Saccharomyces cerevisiae S288C: one gene and its partner. The protein of the gene in region 2 interacts with the protein of the main gene of each other region in a pairwise test. Each region holds a gene or a part of one and is shown on either strand. Other genes may lie near its edges.

Region 1 (3,806 bases), on a different chromosome or scaffold from region 2:
TGGAAGTGGCAACCTAATCAGTTCAAGTCAATCACCTTGTTAGGTGCCGGTACCGGTATCAACCCTCTGTACCAATTAGCTCATCATATAGTTGAAAACCCAAACGACAAGACCAAAGTTAACTTGCTATATGGGAACAAGACTCCTCAGGACATTTTACTAAGGAAGGAACTGGATGCGTTGAAGGAAAAGTATCCTGACAAGTTCAATGTTACTTACTTTGTTGACGACAAGCAAGATGACCAAGACTTTGATGGTGAAATTAGTTTCATCTCCAAAGATTTTATTCAGGAGCATGTTCCAGGTCCAAAGGAAAGCACACATTTGTTTGTCTGCGGTCCCCCACCATTTATGAACGCTTACTCAGGTGAGAAGAAGTCACCTAAGGACCAAGGTGAATTGATCGGTATCTTGAACAATTTGGGCTACTCCAAGGACCAAGTTTTCAAATTTTAAGCATGGAGGAAAGTAATTGATATTTTTTTTAATTTCGGATCGTTCAAATTAGTAAATATATAAAAAATATATATATATTCATGTGTATGACTAAAAATTCTCTCAAGAAGGCTTGGCTTTAAGCTCTAATTCCGTCTGCATTCGTAATAGAAATATCTCTCAAGTCATGAATTTAGAGATAAATGCTTTAGTTTGTCGTACTTCATCTTTCTGAATATCTAAGGTGTATGCAGGAATGGCATAATTTTCCCAATCAATATCCCTTCCTTCCTCTCTATTAGATTGAGACAGTTCTATCCAATTGACGCTATTAAACGGTTTATTGCTTAGGAGATTCTTATTTTTTTGACAAATTACCAAATTATTGATAAATTCAGGATCCCAGAACATACGGTGATTCTCGTCCTTCCACGAAGCATGCGATGTATCCGGTTCTATTTCCAGAATTTCTAACCAACGTCTTCTTGGCAGGCACTTGTCCAACGCCAAGAACCGTGTCTCGCCGTATTTGGAATCATACTCATTCTCTTCTTGGCAATTCATAATACCAGACCTTTCGTCCTCGTCACTGGATAAATCCAAATCTATTTCATTATTGTTTTTTTTTGTCTTTGAAGTTGACTTATTAGGCGGTTCGTGGCTTCTTTTATTATGCTTAATGGAGGCCATGAACCTGACATGCAAATGGGCGCTCAACCACCATTGAGGCCGCAAATCTCTTAGTAGTTGCCAGGTCACTGGGCTGCCTAGTTTTCCCTCTTTAATATCTTGCTCAAAAAAAGGCTTAAGCTTCAACAAGTGCTTAGTATCGCCATGATAAACGACTCCATTGGGCCAATCGTGGCTCAGCATAATATCAATACGATGCTTGATCATAAAAAGAGGAGCAATATCAGAAATTCTTACATGATACAGATTTCTTATGTTAGCTTTCCAATTGTTATTTTCTAGGTCATTCCAATCTGGTCGTTGCTTATTGAAATCCCACTCTTTCCATATCCCGCTCAATGAACCTATCCTTATGCCTTTAAACCATATAACGTTAGAGTATCCCATATAAAAAATGTTCTTTGCTACATAACCACCATGTGGCAGAAGCATTAAATGTCTCATCGATTCATGATTACCGCCAATAAAAATAGTAGGGACTGGGGCTTCAATCTCATTATTGTAGTATGATATGAAATCACCGAGTCTTTGATATTTTGGTGGTATGGCTATTGACTTAAAATCCTGACCATCACGAATACTTTGAAAATCTCCAAGAATAATTAATAGATCGATGGGAGTCTTCGCATGGATTCGTGACACTTCTTTATAAATTTGGTTTAGCTGACCATGACAGCACCCTTGTACAGCAATTCGCAATTTAGTCATAAGCAAAATGATAAATGTCTGCCCATCTTAATTTTTAGTTACATATTTACGTTCGCCATATGACTTTCTCCTGCTCATTTTTTGTGAGGGCCAGAAAAACACACATCTGGCTAATGAGAAAAAAAATTGGAGAACTAAGGAAATGCCTCGATAAAAAATTGAAAGTAATAAATAAATAAATAAATAAATAAATAAATAGTAAGTTAATAAATAACTAAATAAATAGAGTATGTATAAGAAGAAACTTTATGTAAATGTATATTAATAGGTATATATACAAATTAGTGAGTCAGTGGTAAAAAAGTGCAAACGCACAAAAAAAGTGCAATTAAAGAAGAGTATGATATTCTTTTCCGTAAAATACAATGAGGTTCAAATTAGTAGGCTCTTACAGTTGGAGGTACGGAAGGACATTCCTTTTCGTCCAAAGTGTGATCGATAACCCTTCTGTATTTCAAAGTCACTGGGGCAGCGACGTCCTTTTGCCAGGATAATGTATGCTTCATCCAATGTTCGTCATCTCTATTTGGATAATCCTCTCTTGCATGAGCACCACGGGATTCCTTTCTATTAGCAGCGGAAACAGCTGTTTGGGAGGCACAGGTTAATAAGTTCTGTAGCTCCAGAGTTTCAACCAAGTCAGAATTCCAGATCATTGATCTATCGGTCGTCTTCACATCATCAAAGGTCTTCTCTACTGCAGTAATGTTCCGAACACCTTCATCTAAAGATGATTGTGTTCTAAAGACGGAAACATCCTTTTGCATAGTTTGTTTCATATTCATTCTAATTTCTGCCGTAGATCTTGAACCATTAGCATTTCTTAGTTTATCCAAGTTTGCGATGGATTCTTTACCCAAATCAGAAGGTAGTGGTTTGTGTGGCAACCCAGGCTGTAAAGTGTCAGCAACCGTATGGGCAACAGCACGACCAAAGACAACAAGATCCAACAAGGAATTGGCACCTAATCTATTGGCACCATGGACAGAAACACAAGCGGCTTCACCACAAGCCATTAAACCGGGAATAACCTTGTCTTCGCCAGTTTCTTCATCAATGGTTAATGCCTCACCATTCCACTTCGTGGGAATACCACCCATGTTATAGTGGACGGTAGGAATAATGGGAATAGGTTCCTTGGTGACGTCTACACCAGCAAAAATGGCTGCTGTTTCAGAGATACCTGGCAATCTTTCCTTTAGAACTTCCGGAGGTAGATGGCTCAATTGTAAGTACATGTGGTCCTTTTTCTTACCAACACCTCTGCCTTCTCTGATCTCCATGGTGATTGCTCTGGAAACGACATCTCTACAAGCTAGATCCTTGGCCGTAGGAGCGTAACGTTCCATGAATCTTTCACCTTCAGAATTAACCAAAAAACCACCTTCACCACGAGCACCTTCAGTGATTAAGCAACCAGACCCATATATACCTGAAGGATGGAATTGAACAAACTCTAAATCTTGCAAGGGGAAACCAGCACGCGAAACCATGGCATTACCGTCACCCGTACATGTGTGAGCAGAGGTACAAGAGAAGTATGCTCTACCATAGCCACCAGTGGCAATAATGGTCTTGTGTGCTCTGAATCTGTGGATGGTACCGTCTTCCTGATTATAAGCGATGACACCAACGACCTCGCCATTATGGGTCAACAGATCGAGGGCAAAGTACTCAATAAAGAAATGTGTGTCATGTCTTAAAGCTTGGCCATAAAGCGTGTGTAAAAGAGCATGTCCTGTCCTGTCTGCGACAGCGCATGTTCTATAGGCCTGAGCACCCTTACCGTACTCCTTGGTCTGACCACCAAAGGCTCTTTGGTAGATCTTACCGTTTTCAGTTCTTGAAAAAGGAACACCATAGTGTTCCAGTTCAATGATCGATTTGGGCGCTTCCCTGGTCATGTAATGGATGGAGTCCTGGTCACCTAGCCAATCAGATCCTTTCACAGTATCGTACATATGCCATTTCCA
Region 2 (4,340 bases):
CAGTTTTGTCAATAAATTCAGGGATTGGCTCAACTTCCTTCTTTTTCTTAGGTTTCTTTTGAGATGCACCTGTGGTGGCAGCAGCATTTTTTTTAGCTTGTTTGGCAGCGAACTTTAACAGTTTTTCAGCCTTTTTCTTCTCTTTTTCAATTTCCTTAGGAGTCTTTGGAGAGCCATCTTCCTTTAACGGATTAATGATGACCTCACCAGTCTTTGGGTCAACTGGAGGCAAATTATCAAGATCGCTCATTTTAAAGAACCTGACTTGATTATGAGTTAACGACTTCTTCAGAGAAAAGTTTTGACAAAGTGGTAATGATCGCCTATAATGACAGTTCAAAAGCCGAAAAGTGAATGTCTTAGATAATGTGTTTAACCACTTATTCATACCATCTAAGTAATTCCATAAATCTGAAGGACATACAACAACGATGACAGCCAGTGGTAGCACACACAGAGAACACCAGTAGGCTGTATGGGTGACTCTTCTAAAAAAATTTTTTCAGCGCGGTCTCTCGAAGAACTTTACCCGGTTTTTCTTTTAATTCATCACCTCTGAGTTGCTAGGTCTCTTAAACGTTCAGAGGTAGCATGACTTAGTATTCTACATATATATACATATATTTGGATATATTTGAAATTCTAAATGAAATAGTTTTAGTTTAGTTTTCTGTGAGAGAAATGTCATAGGTCCTGTAGGCCTTTTGAAACTTTTCAGCCTCTATAGTCTCTTGTTGCTTAGTTTGTAAACAGGTTGAAGAATTCCATTTCACCCTGCGTGGCAAGTTAAGTAAAAAGGCTAGTACACGTCGTCCAAACTGCAGATCTATTGTCTCACTGGCATTAAATGTGGCCAAATATATCTTTGGGTCCGCTTCAGGAGTCTCGTAGACGGTAAATTGTAAATAATTATTGGATTGGTTGTTAATTACATCCACATATTGTTTGGAAGAGTGTGAATCGTAACATTGGAACTCTAGCTTAGCATTTCTTGTGAATTTTTCGTTATTGAAATGAACCTGTCTATCTAAGGCACTGCAGAACTTTAGAACGAGGTATTTTGGAACGGGAATAACTTGTTTGTGGAAATGAATAGAACGTTCAGACTGTATTTCGAAGACAATCGTGCACATATCAAATTTTATGTAGTTCATCTTCACAAGACTAGCTTCATAAGCCAAAATACTCTGTGTCAACTCTGCGTTCTTGCTTGGATCTAATTTCGGAATATGTTCAATGGGAATAATGAGGCAATGGCCTGAGATATCCATATCACCCTTAGGAACACTTAAAGGTCCCTTCGCTGTGGTTAAATACACTAGTTTGCCGATTGATATTATCATATGATCCTCGAGGTTTGGATTTGAAAAGCAGAAATGACAACTTGACGGCAAAATCGTTCGAATTTTTTTATTTTCATTCTTTTCTCTATTAGCAAGTACCTGTTTGTCTCCATCGAACGAATTCTCTGTTTCTGTTTCTAGTGGCCTTTTATTGCTGTTTGTAACCACGCTATTATACGGGTTAGCTATCAAGTTGGGCGGTTCAGGTTCATCCTTTAGTTCGTTGTCCCCTATTGGCATATTGAATGCATAGGCCCATTTCTTTCCAGATCCATATTTTGGAATATTGAGGAACCTCGATAAGCGCTCTCTTTCCCACTGGAAAGGCTCTAATTCGTAAAAGTTTATTTCATCTGAAAAGGCAAAATGGTACCTTGCTTGTAACTTTTTCGCCAATTCATCAACAACTTCACTTCCAGACAACCTTCCACATCTCTCAGAGATCGAAAGGCCCCATTCTTTTGTAAGGAGAATGTCTACCTGATCCTCACTTTTGCCAAATTCGTCCAGTATGCTTTTTTTCTCCCCTTGAAGAGTATCATCCGGATAAATAAAATATGAAAGAGTGATTCCATTTGCTAATTTATAAGTACCCATATTATGCAGCAATGTTACATTTTCATTTATCTTTTTGGATTTCGAATTGTTAGCCTTATCACACGATAGTAGTATTAGTTGAGGTAACCCATCAGTATTCAGCTCAAAATTTTCATCATACGAGTTACTGAATATAATTATTAGATCAAAGGGCCCTGATTTTTCATTCACTTTCTTGATCTTTCTGATAGCCTCATCGGCATCGCTTTCACTTATATGAGCTACTAAAATCTTTGCATTTGTCATCCTATTTTTATATGTAAGTTTTTGAAGTGAAAAAGATATCAGTAAACCATAAGCCCTTTTTTATATATTATGGATCCTTCTAAGAGAGCTACCTTGCGTTTTTTGTACATCTAGCAATGTAGTATCAGTCCAATTTGTAATTATCATTGAAAAAACAATTGATGTTAACACCCATTCCTTTTCATTTTTTGCAGATTTTCGATTAATAGTGGTCATTGCTGTTTTCCTGTAAAACATTACCAAGTTTCGCCGCTCCCAACATGAATGCTTAAGTTTAGTTCAAAACGGTCATGGGATGGACCGTTACCGTGAACTGAGATTTTAAACAATGGGCTTGAAGTCCTAAGTAATGCACAACTATATATATATATATGTATATTTATGAAAAAAGCGTTCATAGGTGCTAGTTGAAAAGTTTGCATGAAGCTCGTTAAAGCTAATTATATCGCGGCGAATGCAAGACAAGAATTCATTTTTACGCTAGTAAAAGGTTGAAAAGGGGTCTGAGTGTTCCAGTCCGTTGAATAAGATGCCACTGGAACCCTGTTTACCATTTCTATGTCGGAAAGTGAACCCAACAAGTTTTGATGATACTGCCGAGTCATCTACCATAGCCGTTAATTTGTCTTGTCTTTTGAAAACATCAGCATATTTGGCCATGTCAGCCTCACTGGTGAAGTCATCAAAATAACCGGCATCAGTTTCGCTGTCTAGTTGGGGTGTAAAAGGCGGGATCATTGACCTCAAAGTACTAAAGTTTATATCTGCAAAATAAGACATGCGTTTAACATGTTCGAAGGATCTTAATCGATTGATTGGATCGGCAATCAATCTTGTTATTAAATCCCAAGTTCTATCGGAGAATGCTGCCCTCCCATCAGATTGTCTCGGTCTTCTTAAAGTTTGTTTCCAGCGCCTTAAGTTGTCATAGGTCTCATTAGTCGATGATCCACTAAATGGTGTATAACCAACTAAACTTTCGAACAGCATACAACCCAACGACCAGTAATCCACAGTAAAGTCATATTTCTTTCCTTCTAAAACCTCCAAAGCCATATAATCCGGAGACCCAACCATGGAGTTCGCATAATTAATTTCCTTCTCCCTCAACTGGTTGTACATTTTTCTTCTATCTTCTATAGATTTCTCTGTAAACGCTGGAAATTCCAGGTCCTTGATTTTTTCTAACCTTATCTTCATACTTTCAATTCTTTCATTAGAAATCGTACCAGCAGCCAAACCAAAATCTGTTAATTTTATATGTCCCTTGGCATCGATTAAGAAGTTTTCCGGCTTTAAATCTCTATGTGTATAGCCTAAATCATGTAACGCATTAACAGCGCAAAACATTTCACTGATGTAAAATCTCGCATGGCCACTTTTCAAGCATCTAGTATTTATTAATAATGTACGAAAATCACCGCCTGGTACAAATTCCATAGCCAGGTATAAACTTTGTAGGTCTTGGAATGCATACAGAAGTTTTACTAACCATTCAGACCTTGTCGTGGTTAGGATATCTCTTTCAGTTAAAACGTGTTTTGTCTCGTTGAGCTTAAACAATAGTTTTTTGTTCAAAATTTTCAAAGCACACACCTCTTTTGTGTCTTTCTTTCTGGCTAAATAAACTTGCCCATAACCACCTTGACCTACTTGTGTGATCATTTCAAAATCCCTATTTTTTGGTTTCAACCTTCTTTTTCTCAAAACCTGATGTTCCCTTTGTAAGTAAGAGGACCACTCTTCGTTGAGTTTAATCTGGTCAGAATTCGGAAGTTGGCTTTGCTGTTGCAGGTATTCTAGAACTTGCTTCGTGCGTTGTCTTCTACTAATTACATAGTCAAACATATCACAGTAATGTTCTAGAAAGTACATTTTGCAAACACTAACAACTCTCTGTGTTTTATTTGAAGTTGCTCTTTCGTAAAACTTTGGTGGAAGCTTCTTGGGAGAGTTCGAGACATCCATATCAGGTTGAGATACTTCGTCTATGTCCATGTTGGAAGTATCTTCGTAAGGAAAAAAGGATGGTTTTACCGGCGAAGGTGAATCATTGATACCCGCAGGCCTTGTCCTCCTCTTTGTTATATTTTGGTTAGGAAATAGTCCAGTGCCCCCAGGAGTCCCATGCCCATCGAAACTCAAATTGCTCAT

What was found.
Region 1: the proteins of DRN1 (region 2) and DBR1 interact in a two-hybrid assay, tested with the Saccharomyces cerevisiae proteins (one study listed by BioGRID).

Annotation. Positions count from the first base shown.
Region 1 is NC_001143.9:166,997-170,802, forward strand, and holds DBR1 (RNA lariat debranching enzyme), read right to left. Parts: upstream 1,834-3,806; coding exon 616-1,833; downstream 1-615. Other genes in the region: MCR1 (cytochrome-b5 reductase), read left to right, coding at 1-456; succinate dehydrogenase flavoprotein subunit SDH1, read right to left, coding at 2,211-3,806. UniProt on the Saccharomyces cerevisiae protein: Cleaves the 2'-5' phosphodiester linkage at the branch point of lariat intron pre-mRNAs after splicing and converts them into linear molecules that are subsequently degraded, thereby facilitating ribonucleotide turnover.
Region 2 is NC_001139.9:668,234-672,573, reverse strand, and holds DRN1 (Drn1p), read right to left. Parts: upstream 2,187-4,340; coding exon 663-2,186; downstream 1-662. Other genes in the region: VAS1 (valine--tRNA ligase), read right to left, coding at 1-388; serine/threonine-protein kinase DBF2, read right to left, coding at 2,667-4,340. UniProt on the Saccharomyces cerevisiae protein: Involved in branched RNA metabolism, modulating the turnover of lariat-intron pre-mRNAs by the lariat-debranching enzyme DBR1. Enhances the debranching activity of DBR1 in vitro.